Linked DNA regions of Struthio camelus. The protein of the gene in region 4 purifies or fractionates together with the protein of the main gene of each other region. This does not show direct contact. Links are inferred from orthologs where the notes say so. Each region holds a gene or a part of one and is shown on either strand. Other genes may lie near its edges. The genes, in order: SS18, DDX5, CREB1 and SMARCA4.

The links.
Region 1: the proteins of SMARCA4 (region 4) and SS18 purify together in Homo sapiens (affinity purification with mass spectrometry; 8 studies listed by BioGRID and IntAct, counting the BioPlex papers as one, with this or other methods). This does not show direct contact. The link is inferred for Struthio camelus from reciprocal best matches to the Homo sapiens genes SMARCA4 and SS18.
Region 2: the proteins of SMARCA4 (region 4) and DDX5 purify together in Homo sapiens (affinity purification with western blotting; 3 studies listed by BioGRID and IntAct, with this or other methods). This does not show direct contact. The link is inferred for Struthio camelus from reciprocal best matches to the Homo sapiens genes SMARCA4 and DDX5.
Region 3: the proteins of SMARCA4 (region 4) and CREB1 purify together in Homo sapiens (affinity purification with western blotting; 3 studies listed by BioGRID, with this or other methods). This does not show direct contact. The link is inferred for Struthio camelus from reciprocal best matches to the Homo sapiens genes SMARCA4 and CREB1.

The regions. Positions count from the first base shown.
Region 1 is NC_090943.1:122,327,179-122,335,188, reverse strand, and holds the start of SS18 (protein SSXT), read left to right. Parts: upstream 1-5,111; coding exon 5,112-5,180; intron 5,181-5,550; exon of another isoform or gene 5,551-5,747; intron 5,748-7,990; coding exon 7,991-8,010. Other genes in the region: PSMA8 (proteasome subunit alpha-type 8), read right to left, coding at 4,758-5,113. UniProt on the Homo sapiens protein: Appears to function synergistically with RBM14 as a transcriptional coactivator. Isoform 1 and isoform 2 function in nuclear receptor coactivation. Isoform 1 and isoform 2 function in general transcriptional coactivation.
Region 2 is NC_090960.1:4,671,517-4,679,013, forward strand, and holds the start of DDX5 (probable ATP-dependent RNA helicase DDX5), read left to right. Parts: upstream 1-4,481; 5' UTR 4,482-4,715; coding exon 4,716-4,747; intron 4,748-6,256; coding exon 6,257-6,422; intron 6,423-6,562; coding exon 6,563-6,659; intron 6,660-6,745; coding exon 6,746-6,879; intron 6,880-7,010; coding exon 7,011-7,076; intron 7,077-7,497. Other genes in the region: CEP95 (centrosomal protein of 95 kDa), read right to left, coding at 1,221-1,242. UniProt on the Homo sapiens protein: Involved in the alternative regulation of pre-mRNA splicing; its RNA helicase activity is necessary for increasing tau exon 10 inclusion and occurs in a RBM4-dependent manner. Binds to the tau pre-mRNA in the stem-loop region downstream of exon 10.
Region 3 is NC_090947.1:9,435,778-9,443,079, forward strand, and holds the start of CREB1 (cyclic AMP-responsive element-binding protein 1), read left to right. Parts: upstream 1-4,297; 5' UTR 4,298-4,685; intron 4,686-7,302.
Region 4 is NC_090972.1:4,652,417-4,659,602, reverse strand, and holds the start of SMARCA4 (transcription activator BRG1), read left to right. Parts: upstream 1-4,174; 5' UTR 4,175-4,342; intron 4,343-7,186. UniProt on the Homo sapiens protein: ATPase involved in transcriptional activation and repression of select genes by chromatin remodeling (alteration of DNA-nucleosome topology).

The DNA.
Region 1 (8,010 bases), on a different chromosome or scaffold from region 4:
TGCACTTACTCCCATTAGTGCAGACTGCTGAACATAGTGTGAGTTTCTTTATTCTCAATATTTATATTTGCAAACTAACATGGCAGATACTAGAATAAAAATTTAGCTTCACAATGATTTTTCCTGTTTTTGTTACTGCCCCTCTGGAACTTAGTAGAGCAACCAATATCTTTGTACTATTCATGCTGGTGGGGTAGTTCATATCAGTTTATATCAGAACATATAAGCTTGTATTTCAGGTTCTGTACAATATTAATATTCTTATTAATATTCTGTGCAAAGGCTAATGCAAAATATAAATGGCAAAATTGAAAGACGCAGACAAGAAGCTGACAGACTAAATTCCAGACAAATTTACCCTATTAGTGTGATCCCTTTTAGGAAGCAAAAACACCATGAGAGACCATTTACTTTAACAACAAGCTGATATTGTTGTATAATTTGATAACAACTTACTGATTAATTAAAGAGACTGAATCTGAACAATCTTCTAAGCTCAACCATTTAAATTGGCAGATTTTCAGATGCTAGCTCCATTTTGCATCAGGAAGAATTAACATGTATTCTGGGCATGTAGGAAATCCCCCCAAAGTCACAAGATCACACCAAGTCCAGTTAGTGAAGCCCATAGAAATACTGAGCCAAAAATTGTATTTCTTCCTTTTGGTAACTTTCCTTTTTATCTACCCAAGGAAGCTACTCCTTGAGATTTGCTGTAACTGCTCCCTGATTTCTAATCTAAAAATGTTAGGAAACACACAGGCATAAACCCAAAACTCTTTTCTTTTTTTTTTTTTTTTTTTAATCACAAGATGAAAAAAAAGTCAGCCCTAAAAAAAGGCTCAAATTTGCCCTGCCATCCTACTAGCACTAGACTCTGAGCTATCATATTTACTTTTAATAAAGTGATTCTTGTCAGTTTGAGGTGAATGCACAAAATGAGGTGCTGTCTCCGAGAAAGTTCTAACTCTCAGGAATCATTCTCAACACGATACTGCAATCTTTAGTCAAGCAGGTGTAAGCAGCATTACCAAAAACGTCTTTGCTCTCCTGTCTTGTACTGTCAGCTTAGTAAATACCAACTTTAAAATGTGAATTTAAGTTTTGAATTAAAATTTGAAAATGATGATGGATCAGCATTCTGTATTTTCCTGCTTGTGAAAGGGAATGTTTTCTGATCCCTTTTTATCCGTCTCTTCTATTCCAGGGAATTTATGGAAAATCGGATAATAAAAACGGCAGAAAATATAGGCAGAAACTGAAGCTACCTTATTTTTTTCTCAGAACCGTTGGAAGACCGCATCACTGCAAATCTTACAGCTTTCCCCAAAACTAAATCAAATGAAGCCCAGTGCAGTGAGGAATTTTGACACACTCCTGAGGAGGCTAAAATCACTCAACTGTTATGCGCTTCATTTCAAATAGATAGCTTTCTCTAGGAGCCATATGTTAATGCTTTCTGGACCCTAATCTCAGAGCCTATATTGTTACCCAGGTACTTGTGTTTGAGAAAGATGAGCTGGAAACACAGGGAAAAAAATGTTTCAGAAAAGGGCACATCCTTCTCTGTCTGCATTCTTCTCCCTTCAAAAAGTATGAAATACTGAAATACACATGAAAAAAAAAAAGGATGCTACACTGATAAAACTTGGAGCAGAGATGGAAAAGAGCTGGATGAAACATATTTTGTATTTGAAACTCTTTGTGATGATCTAGATTTATGTATCAAAATTACAATTAAATAATGTTAAGGTTGTGAGTAACTCAAGAGTAAAGAAATGTGCAATTAAAAAGAAAATATACCATATGTCCTTCGATATCTAGGCATATTGCAGTGCATTAAGAAAGTCATAAAAGAGACACCCTGTTGTGGTTATGTGTTCCGAGACATGTGGCACGTTTCCATTGTAGCTATCTATTTCCCTGCCTGTATGCATCTGTGCCATTATTTAAATGTTGATTTTCAATGTGATTTTCTCTTTCCCCGTTAAAAAATGGAGCTGCAGTCTCTTTTTTGAACTTTTCTTTAGATCATGAACATGGAAACCCCAAATTTTAAACATATGAATGTAAAATCATCACAAAGAAAGGGGAATAACTGGATTTAATTTACAACTACCAGATAAAACCAGGCAAAAGAGACAGTTTTAATTATTTTAAATGAATGATCTTTTCTTATGTCTGTATCTTCCTTTGGTAACAGCTGAATTCCAAACATTGTTCTGCATTTGGAATGGAAAACAGGAATGCACTTAAAAGTATCTAGTATTTAATTTAGGCCATCTCTGGGAATTAGGATGGGCAATTACTCCTTTCATTTTAAGGTTCCACCATCCCCGTGCAATCCCACAAACCTTTTTTTTTTTCTTCTACTGATCATCAGCCTGAAAGTGTGGGAGAGCACGATGCATTATTCTGAGCTTAAAAGCAATTGCTATGTGGCTGACACCTAACCCACATTGTGTCAAATACTGTCGTCACCAAGATACCCCAATGCAAAACATTTCAGAAACAGCAGCTGTCTAACTAGAGGATGGCAGCAAGGTTAGTTATACTTGTCGGAAGAGAACAGCATTTTGAAGAATTCTCAGTGTTCAGAATACTTCATGAGAATGTATTTGTCCTCTGATTGCTGAAGGTGCCTGCCGCCTTAGAATACTTTCCGACACATCCCTATTTCTCAAAAGCCAAGTATCTACTTCTGCTAAGGAAATAAGTCCTGTTTCTTCTATTGCAACTGGCTAGAAGGTAGTACCTTCTCATTCTATTCTGGCCACAGTGATCTTGTACTCTTTATTCTTAGGACTGTCATTTGTAGTATCTAGAAATAATATTGATTTGAGCACAGAGCTATTGCCACATCTCTGTGGTATGAGTGCACTCCAAGAATATTCAACAAAAACCATGAATGACCATGAAGCCCATCAACTTCAGAAAAAAGGGTTTCTTCAACCATTTCTTTTTGCCTTTGTTTTCCTACAAGTATGATAATACTGCTGCTACAGATAATAATGAAATGTGTGGGAAGGTGAGAGAAAAAAAACTGCTTGTACAAATAAAGTAAAGCGGACCTAGATACCATGGTGATGAGTGAAACGTGTAGAAACACAAACAACCTAATGGATATGCCGGCACTAGTCCTCCTCCTTAAAATGACCTATAGTGAAATGACTGGGCCAGAATCACTTTCTGGAGAGGACAGCAAGCCAGATTAGCATCGCATCAACTCAAGGTCCTATATAACCTGAAGAGACAGGGCAGAAGAAGCACCATTCTGGGAACAGAGAGAATCAGGCCCAGGCGACAGTCCCTTGGAGAGGGGGATGCTTTGGGAATGCAAGAACAGTTTGGAGACAGAAGCCTGGGAACTGGTTGTCAAGGGGGAAAAAAATAGGGGATGATGGGCAGTCACAGTCAATCCTAGGATAACAGAGCCAGGAAGAGCAATCTCCATGGGGCTGGGGAAACAAGCCAGCCTAGAAACAGTCGGAGGAGAGAGCATGCCAGTTGGGAAGCAGCTGCACAGCCACAGGGTGGCCGAGGATGCCACTTACAAATATATGTTGTAACCAAAAAGGCTAGGGCTGGAGGGAAGAGCCAGGGACTTGAGCCAGCAACAGCTGAGAGAGGGAAAGAGAGAAGCGCGCAGAATAAGGGAGAATATTCACATTTTGTTGTGTGGCGTCATGCAACAGAGCAGTGTCCCATCAGCCACAGGAGCAGGCATTTCTGTCAAGGACCAGAGCGCAAATCAGATACTGAAGGTCACTGCCCAATACGTCAGGAAGGAGATGCAGCATTCATGGCCTACAGCACAGCACTAAACAGCATCCAGGCAGGCCAGGGACGTGCCTGGGAAAAAGCAGATTTATGAAGTTTTAGTTTGGGATTTTCTACTTTTCTTTGCCATTACCTTTGAAACTCTTACTATTGTAAAGAACAGCCTTAGACTTTGCAAACTTGTGTATCAGAATATGTGGTGAAGCCCCAGAGATCCCTCCAAAGGCAGCACTGAAAAAAATCAAGGCTGCTTTCAGCAATTTTAGCGTCTATAATTTATTAAAAGTCGTAGCAGCACTTGTTTCTCCTTGTTCGGCTTCGTTTCCATGACAGAGAAGCTGTGGCCGGGGAGGTCAGTAGGGAAACTTAATCACACACAAGCTGGCTGGGCTGGCGGGGGGGGGGAGGGGGGAGTATACAGCCCCAGGGTCTGCTCTTAAACTTTTTTTTTTTTTTAAACCTGCCAGTTCTGGCAATGACTTGACAGCAAAAAACACCACCAGAAGCCTGGAAACGTCAGCGCGAACACTACTGGGCAAACGGCACGTGCCACCGCCAACGGCAAAAACGTCCCAGCGGCACCTCCCCTGCCTCGCATGCCCAGGCCTGCGGCTGCGGCTCCGGCTCCCCACGCGAGAGGCTCTGGCGGTGCCACACCGAAGTCGCCGCGGCCTCGCCCGGGACTTGAACGAGCGCAGGACCCGCCGCTGCCGCCGCTGCCGCCTCACAGCGCTCCCCCGCGCCGCCTTCCCCCGCCGCCTCACACGGCCGCCAGAGCGCACCGCCTGGGCGCAACCAGCGCGGCCGCGGGTGGCGGGGGGAGGAGAGCGCGTTCCTCGGCACAGCCGGAGTGCGTCCCCTGTAACGTGAGCGCTAAAGCGCTCCCCTTCCCCCTCCTCTTCCCCGCCCCCCCCCCCTCGCCGGCCGTACCACTTCGCTGCCTGTCCGGCGCGGAGCCGCGTTGAGCAGGAACGTACCAACGCCAGGAAGGGAAAGGGGTAGCCAAAAAGGCCTCGTGACTGACGGAGGCCACATTTAAACGGAGCGGCGCCGATTCTTGCTCCTTTTGCTTTTCTGAAACCCAGGGAGGCGGCCACCGCCTTATCGACTCTCCCTCTCCGTGCCGGAGAGGGAGGAAGAATACCCTTCCCCCTTTCACCTTTCCCCGGCGGGGTAGAGATGGGCTGGCCCGATGGGCAGCCGCCCCCTCGCCCCGCCCCCCCGGCGCAGCGCGTTCTTCCCGGATCGCTGCCGCCTCCCGCTGCTGTTGGTTGCGCGGGGCGCGTGAGCGGGCGGGCGGCGGGGGCGGCCCCTCCTTGCAGCGGCCCGACATGTCGGTGGCGTTCGCGGCCCCGAGGCAGCGGGGGAAGGGCGAGATCACGCCGGCCGCCATCCAGAAGGTGAGGGCGCGAGAGAGGAGGGGCTCGGCCCGGCCTGGCCCGGCCCCGGGGGCTGCGGCTGCTTCCTGGCGTCGGGACGTGCGCGGAGGGGGGTGGAGGCGAGGCCCCGGGGCGCCCAAAGCCCCTCGGCGGGGCGGCGGCGGCCGGGCCGCGCTGGCGGCGGCCGGGCTGTGGCGCGGCGGGGTCCGACCCCGCGCAGCGGTCGGTGGGCGCGGGGCCGCCCCGCTGCGCTCTGCCACTTGTTCTGGGGGGCGCGGGGCGGCGCCGCCGCTGCCGCCGCCCACGGGTGTTCGCCGTGGGGTGGGCGCGGCGCGGGGAGGCCGCGCGCGCGCGGGGCGGCGGTTGCCCCGGCCCCCCTGCGCGCCCCCGCGCGCCCCCGGGGGGACACGGCACCCGGCGGCCGTGTGGCAAGCGCGAGTCAGCCCTTCAGTACGCTTCGCCCGCGGCACCTGGGGCGAACGAAGAAGTCGGCGAAGCCGTTCCTGTGAGAGGTGCTTGCAAGTGACGCCGCGGTCCTGCTGCTGCTGCTGCTAAGCCCTGTGTAAATGTGATCTCTCTCTCCGTGGGGTGAGCAGAGACTCCCAGATTTGGCTTACCTTTTAATTCCCCTACCCCTGCCCCAAACAAAACCCTCTAAAGTGCTGTTATGGGGGAAGGCTGTGGCTAGAGCTGATGGCAGGGACTTGGGATGCGTCCGTCTAGGCTCCTGTGGGAGGAAGCAAGCTAACTTGCCAAAAGCAACGAGAGAAAGCGTGTTTAGGACTTGTAATAATTAACGATATGTCGCATTGGCAGAGGCAAAAGAGCACACTGAAGTTCAGTGCTGACTCTGTAACATTTGGAAACCTAACTTTAGACCCTCTCTGTCCTCAGTTTAAATCGTGATCTGAAATCTGTTTTAATTTATGGCCGTCAGCTCCTCCTGTAGGAGGAGATGCCTTCCATTTAGATAAATCAGGTGCTGACTTTATTAGAGGACAAGGATGTCAGCAAGGTGTCAAAGTTGTAGGGATCAGGACCTCAAAGAAGACCTCAGAGTTATGATGCAGACCTCTGCAGTAGTGGAGCAGAAGTAGTCTGTGCTTGAGAAGCATAGCCAAAAAGTACACGCCCACTGAGCTGCCTACCAGTAGGTAGTAGAGACTTCAGTTCACTGGGATGCATATAAAGAATGTAGGCACTTAAGGTTTTTTTTTCTTGTGCTGTAGGCCTACCGTTGATTTGATGCTGCCATGCTTGCAAAATCCTAGTATAGGTATAGCTAACAAGTTTTTGTAGTGTTCCTAAGCTGTTGGAAGCCTTGGAGGTGTCTTCATCTGGCTGGAAACTTAAGATTCTTTCTTGGTGATAGGTGCTTATAATTCTTTCAGAGAACTATTTCAATTCTTTATCGGTAACTGCTTGATGAAAACGTTATAAAACAGTGCCTGCAGCCTAGTCTAGGCTATAGTTGTATTCCATTTTATTTACTTTCTTCCTGGCCCTAGCATTTTTTTTCCCCCTCTCCAAAGAGATCTGGCTTACCTGAGAGGGGGAGGGGAAAGGGAATGGAATCATCTAACTGGAAGTCTGATGATCTACTCCCTTTAAGTATATGCTGTCTTCCACTGGAAGATGGAAGTGTTCTGATGAGAGCCTTCATCCAAGGCTCCCTTTACAAATGCGCTGTCTGTTGTATATGAGAAACAGACTTGTATTTGTCTATATATATATATATAGACATACATACATATATTTTATTTATTTACATATTTGCTCCTTTTTCCTCATTTTTTTCTGGTGAAAGTAGCTACTGTATTTCTTACAGAACTTGATGTTAGTACACGTGAAGTGTGTCTGTATATGGGTGTATATGGGTCGGCAAGCCCCTTTAGAGCATGGAAGTACATCTCTTCCTAGTTTCTGGAGTTCAGACGGATGTTCGAAACATTGCAGTTCTGTATGTGTCTGTTGCTTAAGGACAGTGTTTCCAGGTCTAGCAATTTTAGGCAAGGACGATTGCTTACTGACTGTTCTTGTCAATTCTGGCAAGTTACTGGTTTAAGTTTAGGAAGACTTGGTTTATTGGCTTATTAGTTCTTACATGGATACAAGTCTTGAGTGGACTGTATGAGGTCTCTGAATCTGTACCTTTTTCATATTAAAGATAGGTTATTTGGAAGAAAAAATAAATATTTTAATAGGTTTTTTGTTTGTTTTTATGTTAGATTCTTACAGAGTTGAGGATGCTGTAATTATGGTGTCTGTGCTTCCCTTTCAGAGTCATAAGCCTGCTTTCTAATTTCAGCCGTGTTTGGAAGGGAGATAATTAAGACCCTACCGGTTTTGTGAAATTCAGGAGCTGCAAAAGAGATCTTAAACTAGCCCTCCACTGAGGGCAAAATGCAGGAAAAAGTTAGTGTGAAGTTTTCCATTTGGCTGTAAATTTTTTTGTTTAGTTCAATTAACCTGGATAATTTGGCTGGTAGCTCAGACTAGCCATAGTTCTGCTGTGTCTTGTCTGACCAGAGTGCAAGGGAGTGATTAAGAGGATGTGTGTGTAGGGATGTGCAGCTCTGAGACCAGAGTATATTATTTTTCCTGCTTATGGAACTCAGCAACATCTTGAATTAATGAGTTTTCAGTTTTCAACTGAAAACTGAGAGGGAGGAAGGGGGAGATGGTAGCAAAATAGGTTCTATAAATAATTGGTTGAAATAAAGCTTTTTAGAACACTTGCTTAAAAAGAAGTAGGAGCAAGAATCAAACTCGTCATCAGTTTCTTTCCCTAAAAAGCATGAAACTTATTCTAAACTTTTTTGTCGTTTCAGATGTTGGATGAAAATAACCA
Region 2 (7,497 bases), on a different chromosome or scaffold from region 4:
CTGCTAGTCAGGGCATCTTTGAGGACATCATAAATTTAAGTTATAGGTTTTTAAGTTAAAAGCATAACCTGACAATCTAGATGGAGGGAAAAAAAGTCTTTAGCATCGCTTCATCAAGAACTAGAAACAACATACACTTTTTGGAAGAACATGAGCTGATCTCTTACAAACCCAATTTCCTGAATATCCTTGGCAATGGAAACACTGCTCATGTAAATATTCATCATTAAAACTAAATCCTAGGACTGCTTTTATTATTTTGCTGTTCAGGTATTACAAGCATATGAAACTGCCCCCCCAAAGTCTCATGATATGTTGAGTGCAATGAGAAGCATGTGCATATGTAGACTATCTTTTCCAAAATTTTCTCTTTAAAAGTAATGAATTCAGAGTGGTTTAGAGTACATGTTTCCTCTACAGTTTTCCTTGCCACACACTGCAAATAATAACTTGAGGGAAAAAAAAAGTTTTCATATGTCTGTTAGTCTATGATTTTTTGAGATTTGATCTTCCCCTACATATTCATTTAGCAAAGAAAATATAATTTTTAACAAGTATTATCAAGGACTTTAAATTGCTAGAAATGGGATAAGACATCTGTGCAAGAAAAAAGAAGTACAGCGTTACTACTACAGATACTACCGTGTCCCGCTGTTTTCCTTGTGTACACAGAGGAATTACATTTCCATCTATCACCCCTTCACTCTGTTCCAAGAGACACCTTACCCTCACACTTTGTTTTCAGGTGCACAAAACATTAAAGTAATATCTTCTACAGTTCAGGCTGACAGGTTCTAGAAAACTTAAGGTTACCCTTTATTTCCAGCTTAAAAGAATCACTAAAGAAAAAGGAGGGAAGGGACAATAAAAAGCATAAAAAGTCACAAAACAAAAAGGGAAATCGTAAGGGAAAATAAGCATGAATAAAGTGGAGGCGATTAGCGAGCAGCAGAAAAGAGACCAAAGGGAGGTGAAAAGGCTACTTCTCACCCAGCTCCCACCTGTAGAGCACGAAGGTCGGCCACCTCTCCGGCACCCTCGCCCGCCCCACCACTAGGGAGGCCCCTCGGGCTGGTGGGGACGCGCCACGACCTAGCCCAGCGGCGGGTAGGGTAGGGCAGGGCAGGGCAGGGCAGGGCGAGGGCAGGGACCGGGGAGAGGCGCCCCACGGGTCAGAGAAGGGCGATCTCCTCAGGAGCTCCCTTCTCTGGCCCCCCTACCTGTCTCCTCAGAGCTGCCCATGGCGCGGTCGCGCGAGCGCCCGGTGACAGCACCTCACGCACCCTAACGGACCAGGGCCACTGCCCCGCCCCGGGTAATTTAAATAGCCCCTCTCTGTGTCCCGCGCGTTGATTGGGCCGTCTGTGCAGGAAGAGGCGGGGTCTCCCGCTGAAGGCCGTCGCGATTGGCTGCAGCTGGGAATGGTCCGCCCCGGGCCCGCCTCCGTTGGCGTTGCCGTTGCGGGTTGCCTAGCCGCTGGTTGCCGTGGAGACGGGGAGGGGGTGAGGCGCCTGGGCCTCAAAGCGACGCCGCATCGAGGATCACGTGGCCCGGACCTTGCTTCCCCCCCTTCCCCCCGCCCCGTGCCGCTTCCTTCCTGGCGCGCGGGGCTGTTGGTGGCGAGGCGCTGGCGGGGGTGGGGGTGTCTGCGGCCCGCGCGTTCGCGCATGCGTGGAGCCCGCGGCGCGAAGGGGGAGGGGGCGCTGCTCCGGCGCGAGGAGCCGCCGCCGCTTCCTTCCCTCAGCGTCGTCGCGGGCGGCGGGTGAAGGACGCCGGGCCGCGTCGGGGGAGCGCCTCGGTCGGCGAGGCAGGCTGGCGGCGTAAAATGGCGGTGTAATAAAAAAAAACTGCTTTTAACTCGGGCTCGGTTCCGCGGGCGGTTGGGGAGGGTTTGTTGAAGCGGTTCCGCCCTTAATCACCCTGAAGTGAGGTGATTTCTTCCCCCCCCCCCCCGATTTTCACAGAATGAGGAAGGAGGGCCGGCTATGGCAGGCGGGGTGGAGCAGGGGAAAATTCTAGCTCTTGACCTTGCAGGGCCGGCCTCGGGGTTGTTTGCTAAAAGGTGGAGGTGGTGGTTACGTTAGAAGGGTTAGTGTACAGTTTGTACAGTTGGGGAGTTTGGTTTAAATTAGCAGGTGGTGTAGGTCTGCTTGGGAGATGGCAGGTAATTTGATGACTTTCCTGGATGTTAGGAGTGCCAGAACCTTTATTAGAATTATGACTTAGAAGGTTTCGTCCTGTGAAATGTACTGTACAATTAGCTGCTAGTTTACAAGATTCTAGAGGCCTTTGATGGTGAAAATGTATTTTCTTCCTTACAAAGCACATGTGTACAGCGCTGCTTAGGGATTCTGGAGTTTCCATGTTGCCCCAGGTCTTGCAAAACTAGAAATAATGGTGCCTTAAACTCCTGGAGTACGTAGAAGCAGCTGAGATCTCAGTGATGACTGTAAGAACAAGGGTAGGCAAGTAAACACCAGGGGTAATGATGGCTTTAACGGTCCAAGGACAGATAATTGGTAGATACATAATCTTAACGCACGTTTATACCAGTTAATCTGATAAAAACAAAAGAGCTTTTGGGTATATAAAAACGGATGTCAATACTATTAATACTGAAACATGGATTTCAGTTTCATACATACACAGCTCTGCAAGCCTCTTTTACGTTGCATGTATTGGCTCAAAGAAAGACGGGAACAGAGGAAAATAAACAACATGTTTAACGTAAAAGGATGAAAGAAAAATGAGGAAGTTTTTTTCCCCCCAAAGAGGAAACTGAAGTTACTTGCAGTCTAAATGTGTGCAGCTGGCATGGAGACTATGAGAGGTTCTGAGGGCTATGTTTCTTTAGGTGAAATTGTGTGGATTTACGTAAAAAGTAACATGTATGAGGAAGAAACAGCTGTAGCTATACCTAAAAAAAAAAAGATAGGCCTAGCTTAGGTGTTGCTTTTGAGGGTCAGTCATGGAATCATCTACTACTGTTCCTTTAAAACCTTGCTCCAATCTTAGCAGCAATCAAAAAATGAAAAACAATCATTAGGAAATAATACAAGACAAAACAAAAACACCATCATGCTTTCATTATGTAAATCTATATGGGGGCCCAGATTTTGAATTCTATGTGGGTTTCTTGTCAATAAAGTGGCAAGGATTATCCAAAGTGCAGAATTGCTTTTAAAGGAGAAATAATTAGATTGCACCTCTGACTTGGAAAAGGAGTAACTGAGATTAATGTCCCGAAAGGGTATAGATAAGGTGGATAGGAAATTATTATTTACCATTTCTGACAATTCACTTTGCTAGTCCTCCCTTGTTCTTACCAGTCAATATGTTGAAAACAAAGGGAAGTACTTCTCAGGTAGTGTATAATTAAATTGTGAAACTGATTGTTACAGAATGCTTTAGAAGATAAGAGCATAAAGAGAGGAAAAATGTGAAACATAACTGTCAAAAACAGTTACGTTATTTTTGTTTCCGAAAAGTCTTAAACCACAAATTGCTAGAAGGTGGGAGTAGCCTATAAAGGCAGGGTGTTGTTACAGCGTTTTTTCCTTACGTTGTTTTTGTTTGCTATTGGCCGCTGCCTGAAAGAGATGGTCTGGCAATACAGTGCTTATGTTTATGTGTCAAGCCTCATCTTGTATGTGCTTAAAGCCACAGGTAGCAAGACATTCAAGTTATTCCTCAAGCTAACAAAGCAGGGTAGATAAGCAACCCTAGTAACTTCAGGTGTTTGACATTTATTACACCTGTGCTTTCCAAACAGCAGTGTCCTTTGGTGCACTGGTGCACTCCTCGTGACCTTTAATTTGCTTTACTAGACCTGGTGTGGAATTTGAAAAGATAAAAATAGCACCTGTTTCCAATCACATGGATTTTAATATTAATGAAAGTGCCCAGGCAATGGATAACAATCTAAAATTACTGCTTAAGCAGTATTTTATCTATCTGCTGTTCTAATTATTTGTGGCCAGCGGGTTAACTTCGAGAGGACCCGTGCATCCAACCCCTTCAGTCTATTTGAAATCCTGGGAATGCCTGTGGCTGAAATACTGCTTTTAGTCCCCAGAGATAAAAACTCCTTTATGGCTCGGTCCAGTCCTGTGCATGTGCAGAGGAAGGTCACTACTTAGCCACTTACTGATGTCTTACGGTGTCAGATGTACTAGCTGTCCATAGGTAAAACATCTGGGGGGGGGGGAGGAGGGGATCGCGCTTCCTGTCGGGCCAAAGCAGCTCCGGGCCCCTGCCGCGGGTCGGGCGGGCGCCGCTAGGCCGCGGCCCCCCGCTACTGCGCAAGCGCGGCGGCTCGCGCCCTTCTCTGCGTGGGCACTGGGAGGGGCAGACACTCCCGCTGCCGCCGCCGCTGCCGGGCAGTGACGACACAGAGGCCACGCCCACAAGGGGAGGGGGACTTCCGCCCGCGCGCGCAGAAGCCGGTCAGTCGGCCGAGCCGCGGCCACGCCCACAAGGGGAGGGGCCGGAGGCTCCGGCCAGCTCGGGCCGCTTACATAAAACAAGGGGCGGGTTCTGCGCCTGCGTCACCAACCGGCTCCCAGCAGCCTCCGCGGCACCCCTTATATAACCGGCATCCGGGCAGCGGGGCGCTCTACATTCAGTGGCCCCCACCATCGGCGTCGGATCTCGCCGTACCTTTCGTCACCCTCTTTAGTGACCGGAACCGTCTCGCCACCATCGCTTCCATCGCCATGCCCGGGTATTCCAGCGACAGGGATAGAGGGTGAGTCCGGGGGCCCGGCTGGCGCCAGCCGCCGCCAGCGTCCGGACTCTTAAACCGCCTATGGGGGTTTTGACTGCTGCTTTTTTTTTTTTTTAAGCCGTCTAAAATGGCGGCGAGGCGTGGGGGTTGGGCCCTGGAGCCCTTCTTCTCAGCTCTTGCCGTCTTCAGAACTCCGGAGTTTCGTGACGAGAGCCGGGGGGGGGGGGAGGGGGGAAACGCCTTTAGGCCCTTTCGGCGCCGCCAAGGGCAGCCACCGCGTGTGGGCGGCCGCGTAATCCAGGGCGGGGGCTGAGTCCGTCCGCCTCCGCGCAGCCCCTGGCCGCTTGTTAGGGGTGCGGGCGGGGGAAGGGGGATCGAGCCCTCTCTCGGGACACCCCCCTGAGTACGGATGGCCCTTGCAGAGCTCGATTCCTGTCCTTCCACACCCCCCTGCCAACCCCCCGCCTCGGCCGCGGGGGCGGACTGAGCAGTGGCGGGCTGGCTGGAGGTTTGTGGGTCAGTGGGTTGGCCGGGCGCTTCGTCGATGCCGGAGAAGCCTTGGGGGAGCTCTCGGTAGGGCGGGTCCCTTCTCTCCCTTCCCCCCTTCGCCGGCTCTGGCTGTTGCTGGCAGAAGCCGGCCGGCTCCCGCTTTGTGTTGTGTAAGCGGATGTTAATGGCCGGCCCCGCCATGCGGTGACTGAGGGGAAATCAAAATGCCGGCTGCTGCTGCTGCCTTTGTTCCTCCTCCTCCTCCCCCCGCCCAGCTCAGACTCTAAAATGGCAGCGGCTGGAAAATGTGGCGTAGACAGAAATGAGAGACAAAGGAAACAGCGCTGGCAGGAAGCAGCGGCCACTCAGCCGGGTCCCCTCTGGGAGCGCTGTGTTGTGTTGGGGAGGATCGCTCCCAGCGCCTGCCCAGCCAGGAGTGGGGTGCAGTCGGGGCGGGGGAGGGAGCGCCCCGCTCGGGTCCGGGGTGGTGGTCCTCGGGGCGCGGGTTCGCTTCGCTTAGATCCGTCAGGGTAGGCTTCTGAGACGAACCCCTTCTGAACGAAAGGGGATAACGCGTAAAACGCGTGGCCTCGTGAGAACGTCGTTACTGAGAGGAGCCAGCCCTTTGGGATACCAAAACAACCGTTTACGGGGAAGTTGTGCCGAGCTTTTGTAACTGCCTCTGCTTGCTTTCTGCAGGCTGACACACAAGGGGAGTGTCGCTCGTGTGGGAAACTATTTTGATCGTGGGGGTTGTGCAGGTGTTTTAATGTTCTTGCTGTTTTGTAGGTTGTTAATAAGTCTCGGTTTCATTTTGTGGAAACTGCAAGGTAATGTGTTACCTTAGTTTCTGAGCATGAGTTATAACTAGGCAGATCATGGCATCTGCAGCTTGGTATGTTTTTGGAGTTTTATTATGATGTATGTGAGACTTATGAAACTGAATTGTCAAGTTGCATGTTTGGTTGTAAGGATAATGATCAAGTTGTATATGAAAGAGAGTTACTCTCAGGTTTTGTATTATGGTGTATTCTTCTCTAGGTTTGGAGCCCCCCGTTTTGGAGGAAGTAGAGGTGGACCTCTGTCTGGAAAGAAATTTGGAAACCCTGGGGAGAAGCTTACGAAAAAGAAATGGAATTTAGATGAGCTGCCCAAATTTGAAAAGAACTTCTATCAAGAACATCCTGATGTAGTTAGACGTACTGTGGTATGTACCCTATCCAACTTGTGTGAAAGTAAATAAATAAAGTACAAACATGCTGAGGGTCATGGGACAAGGATGAGGTAACTTATAGGATAACTTTGGTATCAAAGCTTATTTCTAACTATGGGGTTTTTGTCTTGCAGCAAGAGGTTGAACAGTACAGATCAAGCAAAGAAGTCACAGTTAGGGGCCATAACTGTCCAAAACCAATTATAAACTTCTATGAAGCTAACTTTCCTGGTAAGTGCACAATAGGGTACTCATAGACTTCATCTTAATCAAGCCTGGAAAAACTTAAGTTAATAAGTTCTAATTTTCTCTTCAAGCAAATGTTATGGAAGTGATTCAGAGGCAGAACTTCACTGAACCAACTGCTATTCAAGCACAAGGATGGCCCGTTGCCTTGAGTGGACTGGATATGGTTGGAGTAGCGCAGACTGGATCAGGGAAAACACTGTCTGTAAGTTCTTGTTTGTAACTTGGAATACTGCTGAAATTCAGCAGTGACAGTTTTGCCTGGCTTAATGCAGTCTGAACACCTCTGGGAAGAGACTGTAATGAGACTTTTTTTTCCCCTCCCTTTTCAAACAGTACTTGTTGCCTGCCATTGTGCATATAAATCATCAACCATTCCTAGAGCGAGGAGATGGACCTATAGTGAGTATTCCTAAATGAAAGGGGTTCTTAATTTTAAAAGAATGCGGATTTGTTACAGTCCGTTTTGTCCACGCTTATGTGAGTACAAAGTGCTTTCATATACCATAGCAACATTGTATTTCTCGTCACAGATCAGTGATTTTATGTTTCAGTAGTAGTAGTCTCCCAAGATTGTTCCATAAGCTCAGATTTATTTATTTTACTTCAAAATCCTCCAGAACAGGACTAGATGTCCTGTTTTGGAAATAAACATCCCCTGGAAACTGGTGGCTTCCAAATACGTGACCTAACCACACAGCATGGGCGAGTGTCTGGTGGTAGTTGAGATACTGGTTTCCTTAGCTTTCTTGTTCTGTCTGTTCAGATAAATCCATTTTACTTGTGTTCTGGTGATAGCATAGTTGTATACAATGATCTTTCC
Region 3 (7,302 bases), on a different chromosome or scaffold from region 4:
CGTTGTTCCGTTTGTGTGGGGTGGAAAGTGCAGCGCAAGACTTGTTGCACCAAAATGCATACTCCACTAACCACCTAATTGGCATGTATCTCTGCGTTTCCACAATAAATACTATCTTGTGCGCTACCAGTGTCAGCAGAGAGAGGTGAACAACTGCTCCCAAATGCAACTTATGCATTGCAGAGCCACCACACCTTGCAGCCAGCGACACCCCTTCCTGATCTGCCGTCACCCATTGTCACCCATTAGCCCCTGCAAACCTTGGGCCGTGGGCAATCAACCTGCAATGCTGTATGCAAGGAGCCCACTGCCCAGGAAAACCAGCCTGAAAGCTGCAAAGCTAATGAATTTGCCCCTAAGGCTTAATTGCAAGAAAAATAATTAATCTTGCTGGGTTTCACTCATCATCAAGCAAACTTTTGCTGAGGAAGAGGAAAACTGCTGAGCATCCTAATCCCCCTCCGCCCCCAGTCAATCTCTCCCGATAGGACATTGTGGGTAGTTGGCACATCATTACCATCCCATTGTATACAAATTCTCCAAGAGAAAACCGTGAAAGGGACGGGTAGATGATAGTAAGAGCAGGGTTTTTTTTTCAACTCAAACTCTCACTACCAGTCTCAATGGTGTCCCAGTTTTGCCCAGATCTGCTGAGAGGCAGAAAAATCAGAAAACCTGCAAGGGGAAGGGGAATGTGCAAAACAGCTGCCAGAAGATTTCACAGCAGTTCACGCAGTTGTGCCGCTGAACCTGCCCGTGTCAGGGCTGAATCCAGCCCCACTCCACGTATCATCTGTGCTTCCGCCATGGGACACGAGATGGAGGCACCATAGAAACAACAGTTGGGAATAATCTCAGATCACCTCGGGCACCTTACCTATTTGAGACATCTGTTTCGGTTTGAGATAAATTGCACTCTTGAGTTGTCTGCCAAAAGGGGAGCCCAGGCTGGGTGGTGGGGAAGTAGACACCCCTGCAAGATACCTGTAAAGCTCGTCAGCGAGCTGAAAGACTTTAAGAGAACGACTGAGAAGGAGTCAGCCCAGAAGCGATGGGTGAGAGCAGGGCTGGGAAGGACCAGCAGGATGCCAGATTATTAGCAATGCCTGAAATGAAGAGCAGGATCAAAACGGCGCAGAGAACTGCTTGACAACATAGCAGCAGCCCTTGCCGGTCTCCGGGAGCCCAGCGTATCGCAGCCCCATCAGCTGCGCTCTCTTGGCTCAGACCGAGCTCGGGCTCAGGCTGCTGAGGAGAGCTGTTCACTGAGACTGGGTTAGTGCACTTTAGCTGCCTTTCAAGGACTGGAGTTTACTCTCTCCGAGCGCTTATCGCTGTGATTCTTCAGGCTTCCCGCAAGAAGGCGAGTCACATACTTCTGGGAAATGTGCCTGCGTGGAGAACGTACACAGTTTGGGTCATTTGGGGAGCCAACAAAACTGATGCAACACAGAAACATTAACAGAGAATTGGAAAGAAGGAGAGGGAACGGGGAAAAAAGGATAAATTAACGCATGAATCAAGCAAGAGACACTCAGACAGCTAAATTTGTTCTGCGCATTCTAAATATTTTCTTATATAAAGTACTTTACTCCCCATAAGAGGAGCACAAGGGCAGCTGAGCCTTTACGCTCTGATCTCAGAACCACTCCTTGACGTACAGTAGTTTTAGGAGTGATTTTAGCCGTACGCTGCTGACAGGATCAGCTATTAATCAAAGGAGCAACACAAGTCCAAAATAATGAGGGAGAGAAAAGGTCACGCTCTACTGTGCTATGCTGCAAACTTGGAGCTCCTGTTTGCAGACAGCTCAGACAGAAAAAAATGCAATAAAAGTGCAAAATGAGGTGTGGCCCAGCCATATTATGTGTTTTCAACAAAACAGTTTTTTATCAGTCCAACTTGAGCTGCTTGTTTTAAAAATGTCAGACACGGTTTATTTCAGTTTGTTTTCAAACAACTGAAATCAACAAAGCCAAAAGCAGAGCAAGCCCGTAGTCGCTGTCTGCATCATCTCTTTCGATTTTTTGACGGAGTTGGATGAAACTCCCTCTCAATAAAACTAGTTCAACCCTCTTGAGGAAAACAAGACTCAGCAAGAACAAGACTAGATTCACGTGGGCAACACTGTCTTTTGATGTGGTGTAAGTGGCGGGCTCTGCAGGGCCCACCTGGGCGGGTTATTGCCGTGCAGCGGCGTCTTGCGATAACGGCAGGCAGCCCTGGAGGAACGCGCCAACGACCCGGTGGTTGAAATGAACGGCATCTGGAGCTTCAAATCTTGTCATGCAGTGCCATCTCGAGGTTTCCTGGAACAAAATGGACTTTCTTCAAAACTACACGTAGTTTTTAATTGGTCCTACGAGCTCCAGATCTGCCCGTCTGCCCGCCGGAGATGTCCCCACTGCACGGGCACAGGGAGCTGCTCTCCCTCTGGCCGCAACCAAACGGGACCAACCAAAGCGGTGCCAGATAGCACGTGCCCTGCCCCGAGGTGTCCCCCCACCCCATGCCCCATGCCCCATGCGGGACCATCAGAGGAAAAGCCCAGCGAGAGCAGCTGGATGGTTTCCCTGCTGCGTCCCGGAGAGACCGTGGAGGCCACCAGAGCACGGAGGTCACCAGTGCGTGGAGGCCACCAGAGCGTGCAGGCCACTAGAGTGTGGAGGGCACTAGAGCGTGGAGGGTGCCAGGCTGGGCCCCACGAAGTCAGAGCCAGGCCGGGTGCCTCTCCCCGTCCCCACACCCCATCACTTGGGGGTCCCCGTCCTGGTGAAATCTATCTCTCTAGGAAGGGCGATGAAGCGCAGACGTGGCACCGGCAGGAGTGGACCCTCGCCTGGGAAGGGGCTGCTCTGAAGATCACGATTTGCGGCTCTGTCGCCTGGCTGGGCAGACAGCGTTCGTCCTTCTCGTGGCAGTTGGGGAAGGTTGGTTATGTGGATGGCGGCCAGGGAGGGTTGGTTACATGGAGCTCGGGGACTTCATGGCAGTGTTGGTGTTATGGTGGTGGGAGTGTTGCCCCGCGCCTGTGAGCTGCGGCGGCACCACCTGCTCGTGGGGCCGCCCCGGCTGGCCACGGCGCCAGAGCGAGCTGCAAGGCAGCCGCAAGGACAAGCTGGAAGAGCCAGGCTTGGAGGAGCAGCCTGAGGGACACATATGGGCATTTTGCCACGTTGAGAGGGCATGGGGAGGCCGGGCTGGGTGGAGGCCAGGCGGAGGCCATGGAGCGTTGAGGAGGGGTGAGAGGAGCCCATGCAACGCCAGGGCAGCAAGGAGGCCTCAGGATGGCACCACGTCCGCGATGTTGTGTGCAGAGCACATCCACCATGTCGTGCTTGTGGAGACTGTGTGCACCAGGTTGTTCCGGCAGACACCACGTCTGCCATGTCGTGTGCAGAGCATGTCTGCCATGTCGCGCTTGTGGAGACTACGTGTGCCAGGTCGTGCCTGCGGACATCACGTCCGCCATGTTGTGCGGAGAGCACGTCCGCCATGTCGTGCTTGTGGAGACCACGTCTGCCAGGTCATGCTGGCGGACACCACGTCTGCCATGTTGTGCGGAGAACGTGTCCGCCATGTCGTGCTTGTGGAGACCACGTCTGCCAGGTCATGCTGGCGGACACCACGTCCGCCATGTTGTGCGGAGAACGCGTCCGCCATGTCGTGCTTGTGGAGACCACGTCTGCCAGGTCGTGCTGGCGGACACCACGTCCACCATGTTGTGCGGAGAACGCGTCCGCCATGTCGTGCCTGTGGAGACCACGTCTGCCAGGTCGTGCTGGCGGACACCACGTCCGCCATGTTGTGCGGAGAACGCGTCCGCCATGTCGTGCCTGTGGAGACCACGTCTGCCAGGTCGTGCTGGCGGACACCACGTCCGCCATGTTGTGCGGAGAACGCGTCCGCCATGTCGTGCCTGTGGAGACCACGTCTGCCAGGTCATGCTGGCGGACACCACGTCCGCCATGTCGTGCTTGTGGAGACGATGTCTGCCACCTCGTGCTTGTGGAGACCATGAGGGGCGGCTGGAAGCCTTCCGGAAGGTGAGAACCGGGGACGGGGGGGCCCGCTGGGGCTGAGTTTTGGGAGGTTTGGGACAGCGCCACAGAGCAGCAGCTGGGCTGCCGGGGAGGCGACGAGCGCCCCTCTCCCGACGCGCGGGGCGGCGGTCGGGGTGTGCTGGGGGGGCCTCGCCCCTTCCACCGCGCCCGCGGAGGACGGAGGGGAGCGGCGGGAGCCCTCACCCCCCCTCCCCGCCGCGGCCCCGCTCGGCGCTTCCCGCGCGGGCTGCCGCGGGCGGAAGCGGCGTTCGCGCCTTCCGCGGCCGCTCGGCTCTTTCCGCCTCCCCGGCGGGGCGCTTCGTTCGTTTCCGCGGCCGCTCGGCTCTTTCCGCGGGGGCCGGCGGCGCGCTCGGCCGTTCCCGCCGCCCGCCGCGCGCTCGGCGGTTTCCGTGAGCGCTCGGCGGTTTCCGTGCGGGGCCGCGGCGCTCTCGGCGCTTGCTCCCTGGCTGGCGCTCCTCAGTCGGCCGCTGCCTGCCTGTCGCCGGGCTGGGAGCGCCTGTGTGTGTGTGAGTGACGCGGCGGAGGTGTAGTTTGACGCGGTGTGTTACGTGGGGGAGAGAATAAAACTGCGGCGAGATCCTAGGCGCGAACGAAAGCAGTGACGGAGCAGCCTGGTAACCGGTAAGAGGAGGAAGGCGCCCAGCAAACAGGGGCGGGGGGGAGGGAAGGAAATGGAGCCCGGCGGGGACCAGGGGGAGCCGCCGGGCGGCAGGACGCGGGGGCCCGGCCTTGCAGCGCCAGCGGGAGGGGCGCCCGCTTTAAAGATGGAGCCGAGCCCTGCAACATCCCCGCCGCCGCCGCGCCGCGAACAAAGGATAATGGCGGATGGGAGCCGGCCCCGGCGGCGGCGGCGGCCGCCACGGCCAGGCGGCGGCGGCGGCGACTCTGGCGGCAGCCAGCGGCGGCGCTCAGCGCGGCGGGGAGAGGGGGATCGCGCCCCCCGGCCCCGAGGAGGAGGAGGAGGAGGAGGAAGACGACGAGGGGGGAGAGAGGAGGAGGAGACGGCCGCGGCGGTGCCGCCGGCGGCGGCGGCTGCACACCCACCCTCTCCCCCCTCCGCGGCGGGGTGGCGGCCCCTGTCCCCCCCCCCCCAACCACCACCACACCGCCTCCACACAACTCCTCACGGGTCGTCTTCTTTATTCTTTTTTTTTTTTTAATTTTATTTTAATTCTTGTTTTCGCCTGGCTGTGGCCGGCGCAGGGCGAGCGCGGCCTCCTCGGCGGCTCGCTGCCGGCCGCCAGCCCTGGCCGGGGCCGCCTCGGCCGCCCACCCGCCCCCGCTGCCCCTTCTTTTTCCCCAGAGTTTCACTACCCGGCGACCTGAGCGTGCTGTGTCAATAAACAAACTCCTGCGATTAAAAACAAATCAAAAACAAAAAAGAAAACACCCCTCCCACCGCCACCACCACCACCGACAACAAAACACGCGGGGTGCTCCTAGGCGCTGTAACGTGCTCTCTTAGGCTCTGTAACAAGAAGTTTTTAATAAAAACCGTGCACTGAAGTTTGGGCCGGCATCTGACTTGGTGGTTTACTTTCATTGGAAGTGTCGGGGGCATGATCGTATGCGGAGGGCTGTAAAACCGGCGAACTTACTCGGTCACCCAACACCGCCTGCCGTTAAAATATAGGAGGGAAGATCTTTAAGGCTGACGCTCAGATCGCATAACCAAGATACGGTTCCTTTTTGCAGCGTGTTTCTTTCCTGTTAGTATTTTTAACTGAAAGTGAACTTGAGCCTGGCGGTGACCGGTTAATCTCAGTTTGGGGTTTGCTCTTGCCAGTTTTGCACAGACTCCTCAGCGCTGCACAAATGAGCAGGCTTTGACCTCTATCAGTGCTTTAATAGCAAATGTCAGCTAAACTGTCCTTGCCACGTTCCACCAGTCCTACCTTGCCTTTGACTGCTGCGCTGGGGGGCTTTCCCTCCCCGCCCCTTTATTGTCTAGCATAGAAGATACTGTTTTGACCTTATTTACTCTTGCAAAGCCTGGATTTCTGCATCTTTGTGCACAGTAATAAGTGAAAATGCTCTGGCAATCTCTCTTAAAAACGTATTTTTAACTAAAATTTTTTATGCCTGTCAAAAGTATATGCAAGGATTAAAAAAAATATGGGTCATGTGGCTTTTTCTTCCAAAAACACTTTTTTGGGTTTTTTTTTTCCCCTCCCCTCAAGAACTAGTTTCCTAACTCTTAAATAAAAGGCTAGAAACTTATTTGAAAATACTGAATATCTCTTTTCAATTCCAGTGTAACCACCAAGCATTATATTTTGAAATACTAGAGCTCCTGAAGTTCTGCTTCTCCCTTTCCCTGTGTCATCAAACGTAGGTTTTTACTCTAAAAGGTGAAGTTCCGGAAATGCCTTCTTTTATTCAAGATGGGCATGTGCGATTTGTGTAAGTGTCTAGATAGGCCTGTCCTTTCTCGCATGTGGAATTTGTTCTCTGTCGTTTCCACCACTTCTGTTGAAAAGAAAGCCAAGGTGTTCTACATCGCTTCACTCTGAAAAATACCAACGTGAGAAGAGGGTTTCTAAAGTTGCAATTGATTAATAGACATCTGTGGACTTCAGTGAGCAATGTAGCCATTGATAGTGATTAAACAGAACATAGTGTTTGGTGTAATTCATTCATTTTTGGTTTGATGGACTATTCACTTCATTTTAAATACAAAAATGTGACAGTAAACCTTTGCATGTCGTTATTTTGTAGCTTTAGAAACATAACATTTTGTTTATCCCCAAACCATTCTATTTCATGATAGAGCGCAGGACTCTCACATCAACATATTCTAACTCTTTCCCTGCGTTTCCCTGTAAACTTTGTATCCTCACTGACAGGAGAGAAAAGAGAGCAGGAAGGTAATGGTGTATTTGTCAAGCATAGCTTATGGGTGACCTAAAAAGAAATACTGTTTGGATGTAGGAAAGTAGAGTATAATAATTCTTCACGTTTTTTTAAATTTCATTGGTGGAACGACCAGTAATATTTGGCGTTCAGATTAGTACTCTCAGCTTTTGTATCCAAGTCTGGAATAAGTGGTCTGCATCTGATCTGTATTAAATACCCATTGTTTTCCCATATTTTTTGGAAAGGAAAGTGTAAGGGTGCCTACTACCCCAGGGGAGAGGAAAGGTCTGAAAGGAGAGAAAGGTCTGTTGATCCAAAAAATTCAGAAACAACTAATTTAGACTGTCAAGTCATCAGTCTATCTGCTTCCTGGAAACTTAAC
Region 4 (7,186 bases):
CTTTGTTTTACGCTTTCCCTCGCCGGAACGACGGCAAAACCGGCTGGGAAATCCTCACGGAAAATACCGAGCGTTGGCAGCTTTTTCCCGTCGTGCAAGCGCAGTGGGTTTTGAGTCTCCCCGCTTCTGCGCGGCGCCGTTCTTAGCCGCGAGCTTGTTTCCCCGCGGGGCGATCGTCCGCTTGGCGGGGTTTCGCTTCGAAATCCCTCCCTCCTCAGGGAGCCGGGCTGTCGCCCCCGATCCCGTAGCGGTCGGCCGGCCGCCAGGGCCGGGGAGGAGGAGGAAAAGGAAGAAAACCGACGGGCGCTGAAGGGGTCGGGCTGGCGGCGGCGCCGCATCGGTCCTGCGCCGACGGCAGCTCTGTGGCTTCAGGAGGGCAGGGAAAAACGCACATCTCCCACGTCGCCGTCAGCGGCTCCGCTTCGTTTATGCTCCTTTTAATTAAGAGTAGGATTTGAGACCTCCCCCCCCCCCGTTTTGTTTTTTTTTAACATCTCGAGCAAGGGCTTCAGCCCTCTCGGTGAAGGAAGGAGAGCGATTTTTGCTGCGAGACAGCAGAAATCAGCGGTCGCCCTTGCTGCAGCGAAAGCTAATTTTGGGGGGCGAAGCGAAGGGATCGCAAGGCGTTTGGCTCGCTCGGGAGTTTGCGGCCCGGAGGGGGCGTTCCGTGGCGATTTGTGCAGGTAAAACGTGGAAGTTCGGAGCTAGCTCCAAAACACGAGCCCCCTTTTTGGGAAGGGCCCTGTCCTGGCCCGTTGTACCTCCCTCGTCCGCTCGGTTTCATCGCCAGGTCGCAGTTTCTGTCCTTTCTCTCCGGCGTTTTTCCGTGCTGCCGAAGCAGGTGGTGTTCCCCCCCCCAAGGCCGCCTGCGGTGGTCCCGCGTGTCCTTTGCGGCGGCTCTACTTAATTAGCGTACGTTTAGCGAGCGCTTGGAGAGCCTGGAAGAGAAGGCAGAGCTTTACTTAGCAGCGGCCACCACCGTTGTCTTTGGGCTGTGGGCACGGCCAAGCCAGGCCAGATCCGGGCCCGACAGCAGGGCTCCTGCTGTTCCACCTCAACCCGCAGGAGACCTCAACCCGCAGGAGACCTCATCCTGCAGCACGTCCTGCTCCCCACGTCTCCCACTGTCCAACGCCACCTTCTCCCCGTGTCTCCCGCTCTCCAACCCTTCTCCCCGCGTCTCCCGCTCTCCAACCCACCTTCTCCCCGCATCTCCCGCTCTCCAACCCACCTTCTCCCCGCGTCTCCCACTGTCCAACGCCACCTTCTCCCCGTGTCTCCCGCTCTCCAACCCTTCTCCCCGCGTCTCCCGCTCTCCAACCCACCTTCTCCCCATGTCTCCTGCTCTCCAACCCTTCTCCCCGTGTCTCCCGCTCTCCAACGCCACCTTCTCCCCGCATCTCCCGCTCTCCAACGCCACCTTCTCCCCGCGTCTCCCGCTCTCCAACGCCACCTTCTCCCCGTGTCTCCCCCGCTCTCCAACCCTTCTCCTTGCGTCTCCCGCTCTCCAACGCCACCTTCTCCCCACGTCTCCCCCGCTCTCCAACCCACCTTCTCCCTGTGTCTCCCGCTCTCCAACGCCACCTTCTCCCCACGTCTCCCCCGCTCTCCACCCCACCTTCTCCCCGCGTCTCCCGCTCTCCAACCCACCTTCTCCCCACGTCTCCCGCTCTCCAACCCACCTTCTCCCCACGTCTCCCCCGCTCTCCAACCCCACCTTCTCCCCACGTCTCCCCCGCTCCAACCCCACCTTCTCCCCGCTCTCCCACCCCACCTTCTCCCCGCGTCTCCCCTGCTCCAAACCCATCTCTCCCCCCATGTCCCCTGCTCCCAGCCCCTTCCCCTCACAGACCCCCGGCCTGTGCCCCCTCACGAACCCCCTTCCTTCTTGGAACCCCTTTCCCTGGGCCTTGCCCCCTCGTGGACCCCCTCCCCTCGTGGATCCCTTCTCCTCACAGTCCCCTCCCCTCGTGGACCCCTTCTTTCATGGATCCCCTTCCCTCGTGGACCCTCTTCCCCAGGCCTTGCCCCCCCGTAGACCCCTTCCCTTCATGGACCCCCTTCCCTTCATGGACCCCCTCCCCTCGTGGACCTCTTCCCCAGGCCTTGCCCCCTCGTAGACCCCTTACCTCATGGACCCCCTCCCTCAGAGACCCTTTTCTTCATGGACCCCCTCCCTCATGGCCTTCCTTCGTGGACCCTCTTCCCTCATGGACCCTCTCCCCTCGTTGACCCTCTTCCCCAGGCCTTGCCCCCTCCTGGACCTCTTTCCTCATGGACCCCTTCTCTCATGGACCCCCTCCCTCAAAGACCCCTTTCCTTCATGGACCCCTCCCCTCGTGGACCCCTCCCCTCATGGACCCCCTCCCCTCGTGGACCCCTTTCTTCATGGACCCCCTCCCTCAGAGACCCCTCCCCTCTCATGGACCCCTCCCCTCATGGACCCCTCCCCTCATGGACCCCCTCCCCTCGTGGACCCCTCCCCTCGTGGACCCCCTCCCCTCGTGGACCCCTCCCCTCATGGACCCCCTCCCCTCGTGGACCCCTTTCTTCATGGACCCCCTCCCTCAGAGACCCCTCCCCTCTCATGGACCCCTCCCCTCATGGACCCCCTCCCCTCATGGACCTCTTCCCTCATGGACCCCTCCCCTCGTGGACCCCTTTCTTCATGGACCCCCTCCCTCAGAGACCCCTCCCCTCTCATGGACCCCCTCCCCTCATGGACCTCTTCCCTCATGGACCCCTTCCCTTGTGGACGCTCTTCCCCGGGCCTTGCCCCCTCCTGGACCCCTTCCTTCATGGACCCCTCCCCGACCCCCTCCCCTCCTGGACCCCCTCTCTCAGAGACCCCTCCCCTCTCATGGACCCCTTTCTTCATGGACCCCCTCCCCTCATGGACCCCTTTCCTTCATGGACCCCTCCCCTTGTGGACCCCCTCCCTCAGAGACCCCTCCCCTCTCATGGACCCCTTCCTTCATGGACCCCTCCCCTTGTGGACCCCTCCCCTCATGGACCCCCTCCCCTCATGGACCCCTTTCTTCATGAACCCCCTCCCCTCGTGGACCCCCTCCCTCAGAGACCCCTCCCCTCTCATGGACCCCTTCCTTCATGGACCCCTCCCCTTGTGGACCCCTCCCCTCATGGACCCCCTCCCCTCATGGACCCCTTTCTTCATGAACCCCCTCCCCTCGTGGACCCCCTCCCTCAGAGACCCCTCCCCTCTCATGGACCCCTTCCTTCATGGACCCCTCCCCTTGTGGACCCCTCCCCTCATGGACCCCCTCCCCTCATGGACCCCTTTCTTCATGAACCCCCTCCCCTCGTGGACCCCCTCCCTCAGAGACCCCTCCCCTCTCATGGACCCCTTCCTTCATGGACCCCCTCCCCTCATGGACCCCCTCCCCTCATGGACCTCTTCCCTCATGGACCCCTTCCCTTGTGGACGCTCTTCCCCGGGCCTTGCCCCCTCCTGGACCCCTTCCTTCATGGACCCCTCCCCTCGTGGACCCCTTCCTTCATGGACCCCCCCGACCTCCCCCCTCGTGGACCCCCTCTCTCCCTCCCCCCGACCCCTCCCCTTCGCCGCAGTGGCGCGGCCAGTGCGCATGCGCGGAGGGAGGGGGGGAGCCGCCGTCAGCGCCGAGCGGGCGGCACGCGGCACGCGCCTCGCTCGCCCCGCCCCCCGCCTCTCCTCCCGCCACCCCATTGGCTGCGGCGGGGATGGAGCCAGCGCCGGGGCAGGTTGCGCAGCGCCGATTGGCTGCAGCGCGCGCGCGCGCGCGCGGGCGGGCGGGCGGGCGCGCGAGATAGGAAAGCGGGGAGGGGGGGGGCCTGTGGGGTCTCTCCCATTGGCTGCCTCGCCGAGCGGTAGTGGGCGGGCCTTCCCCCCCTCCTCCCAGCCGGCTGGTCCCCGCCTCATTGGCCGAAGAGCGTGCCTGCCGCCCCTTCTCACCAATAGGAGGCGCGCTGCTGAGGAGCGGGTTCTCCGCGCTGCCATTGGCTGTCGCGGGGAGGGGGGCGGGCGCACGCCGGCTCTCCGCTGCCCTCATTGGCTGCGCTGGCGGAGGGGGCGGGTGAAGTGCGCAGGGGGCGGTGCGCACGGAGGCGGGGAAGGGGAGGGAGAGAAGCCGAGCCGGCGCGCATGCGCGCTGCCTGCCTGCCTGCCTGGGGGGGCGGGGTGGGGGCGCGCGCGGGCGGCGGGGGAGGCGCGCGCGCGCGGCTCGCGCTCCCTCACACACGGCGGCGGCAGCGGCGGCGGTGGCGGCTCCTTTGTTCCCGCCGCGCCGCGCCGCGGGCTCGGCCGCCCCGCCGGGTATGGACCCTGCCGGCGGCGACCAGCGCGGTAAGGGCCGGCGGGGGCCTGTCACGGCGCCCGGGCCGGTCCCTCACTGAAAGGGACCGGCGGGGTTGGGGGGGGGGGGAGGGAAGACGCTGTGGGAGGTGGGGGGGGCGCGCTACGGCGGCCCCGGAGGGTCACGCGAGCTCGGCGTCGCGCTCCCGCCCATTGTTCGGGGCTGGGGGCGGGGGGGGGGGGAGGCGGTGTGGGAGCGGTCTCTCCCTTCCCCCCCCCCCAACCCGCCTCAACGAGCGCTCACCGGTTCCCCCCCCCTCCCAAACATCATCATCATCATCATCATCCCTCCTTCCGTGGGGCCTTTGCATTCCCGGCGCCCTTTCCACCTGGCATCGCTGCTCCCCCTCTCCCCCCCCCCCGGTTCATCTCCCCCCCTCCCCCAACCTTCATCGTCCTACCTGCATCCCTTCCTTTCATCGACCCCCCCCTTCCATCAACTCCCCCCCCCCGCACCCCCGACCCCTTCCATCAACCCCCCCCCCGCACCCCCGACCCCTTCCATCAACCCCCCCCCCGCACCCCCGACCCCTTCCATCAACCCCCCCCCCCGGCACCCCCGACCCCTTCCATCGACCCCCCCCCGCACCCCCGACCCCTTCCATCGACCCCCCCCCGGCACCCCGACCCCTTCCATCGACCCCCCTCCCCAGCAACCCCGACCCCTTCCATCGACCCCCCTCCCCAGCACCCCCCACCCCTTCCATCGACCCCCCTCCCTGGCATCTCCTACCCCTTACTGACCCCCCCCTTTTCATTACCCCCCCCGCGTCCCCCCCTTTTCATTACCCCCCCCGCGTCCCCCCCTTTTCATTACCCCCCCGCGTCCCCCCCTTTTCATTACCTGCCCGCGTCCCCCCCTTTTCATTACCTGCCCGCGTCCCCCCCTTTTCATTGTCCCCCTGCATCCCCCCTGCATCCCCCGCTTTGATTGTCCCCCCCGCATCCCCCCTTTCATTGTCCCCTCCCTTCAGCACCCCTCTGCCTCCCCTCCTTTCATCACCCCCCCGCATCCCCTTCTTTCAGCACCCCCCCAGGCCCCCAGCCCCCCCATCCTCCCCCTCTGCAGCCTGCTTCAGCATCCTTCCACTGTAGCCTTTCCCCCAGCGCCCCCCTCCTTTCAGCCCCCCCAGTGCCCCTCCTTCCAGGCATCCCCCCCCCCAGTTCCCCTTCGGGCTCCCCCCTCTTGCAGCCCTCCCTCCGCTCTCCCCTTCTCAGCCTCCTTCCTGCAGGCCCCCCCCCCCCAGCTCTTGCAGCCCTCTTCCCCCCCACCCCCAGCGTGGGGGGGGCTCTGCCCCCCAGCTCCCCACCCCGCCTCCCCCCTGCCCCTCGCTCAGCGGCAGCCTGTGCTGCTGGCAGGTTGGGTGATGGGGGTCAGGGACGCCGCAGTGCCCCCCCCTCAGCCCCCCGTCAGCATCTCCCTTCAGCAGGGTCGGTTGCACCCCCTCCGCCCCATCCGTTTCCCCGCAACCTGCCGAGCATTCGCTGTCCCCCAGCGCTGTCTCCCGGGGGGGGATCCGTGTCGCCCCCTCCTTTACGCCCCCCTTTGGCATCCCTTCTCCCCCGCTTTGTGGGGTGCTGCCCGTCCTCTGGAGCACCCGTCTTCCCCGGGGCATTTCCCCTCCCGTCGGCAGGGCCCCCGTCCTGCGTCCCTGAGCGTCCCTGTCCCCCCTCCCCGGAGCGTCTCCCCTTTATTGCTCCTCCTCTCCCCGTCGCTCTGCTGTTTGTCCTTCTGGAGGACGCCGTTTCTCCACCCTGTGAGATCCCCCTCGTCCCACCTTACTGCCCTTCTCCTGCCCTCCAGCTTCTCACGCCGGGCCAGCACCCCTCACTCTTTATACCCTACTGCCCCTTCCCGGCTTCTGTCTCTTCCGTTGTGGCTTCTTCCTCCCGTAGCTGCGTTTTTGTGGCGCCGTCTGGGTTTCAGCACCAGCTTCCCTGGTCTCCAAGGGATCTGCTCCTCGTTCTGCACCTCCTTCCTGAAATACTGATAGCAGCGTCCCCCCCCACCCCGTCCGCGAGCAGTGGCCCTCTGCCGTCGCTCTCATCCTGTCCTCAGGTCGCCTGCTGCCCCCTCCCTGCTCTCCACCCCTAAAAATTAATCTGCCTTTTGCCCCCTTCCTGGGGGGGCTGCGATGCAGAGGGGTTATTGCATCCCTCGGGCTGACGGCATCCGGGCTGCATCCTCTGGCGCCCGAGCTGGTGGCCGAATCTGTGTATTCGCGCTGCCTAGGACAAAGCCAGGGGATGAAATCTGTCTGCCCTGGCTTCGCAAGAAGCTGCCCCGGCCTCCCGTCTTTGTGGCAGCGCGCCCTGTCCGTACGCGAAGGTTGGTCTCCTGCGCCGGCCAGAGGGGGATCGAGCCTTCCCTGCTGGCCGCCCCCGGCACAAAGCCCGTCCTGGCGTGAGCCGCGGCGAAAGAGAGCCGCCCCAGGGTGCTACGGAGGGTTTTTCGCGGCGCTCGGGTGCAGCCGCCCCCTCCTTGCTGCCCAAAAGCCCCTGCAGGAGCCTCCTCCCCCCACCCTCAGCCACCCCGCCGGAGGCACTCAAAGCACGTTGAAGCCCGGAGTGTCTTAATGCGGTTGCGGCCCCGTCGAAAAGGCGGGGGACGCGCGCTCGTGTCCCCCCAAGCGGAGGGGCTCGACTCCCCTCTCTCCTCCGCTGTGTTGTGCGTGGCGGCGGCGGTGGGGGGGGGGTTCGTGTCCCCGCTGCCGGCTGCGCGGCCTTTGGCGGCGACGTCTTTTGTTATGAGCCGGTGTCTTTCTCCCGGGCTGTAGCGCTGGTCTGTAACGACTGTTCCCCCACCGCGTCTCGGCGACAGAGGCGCGGTGGGGG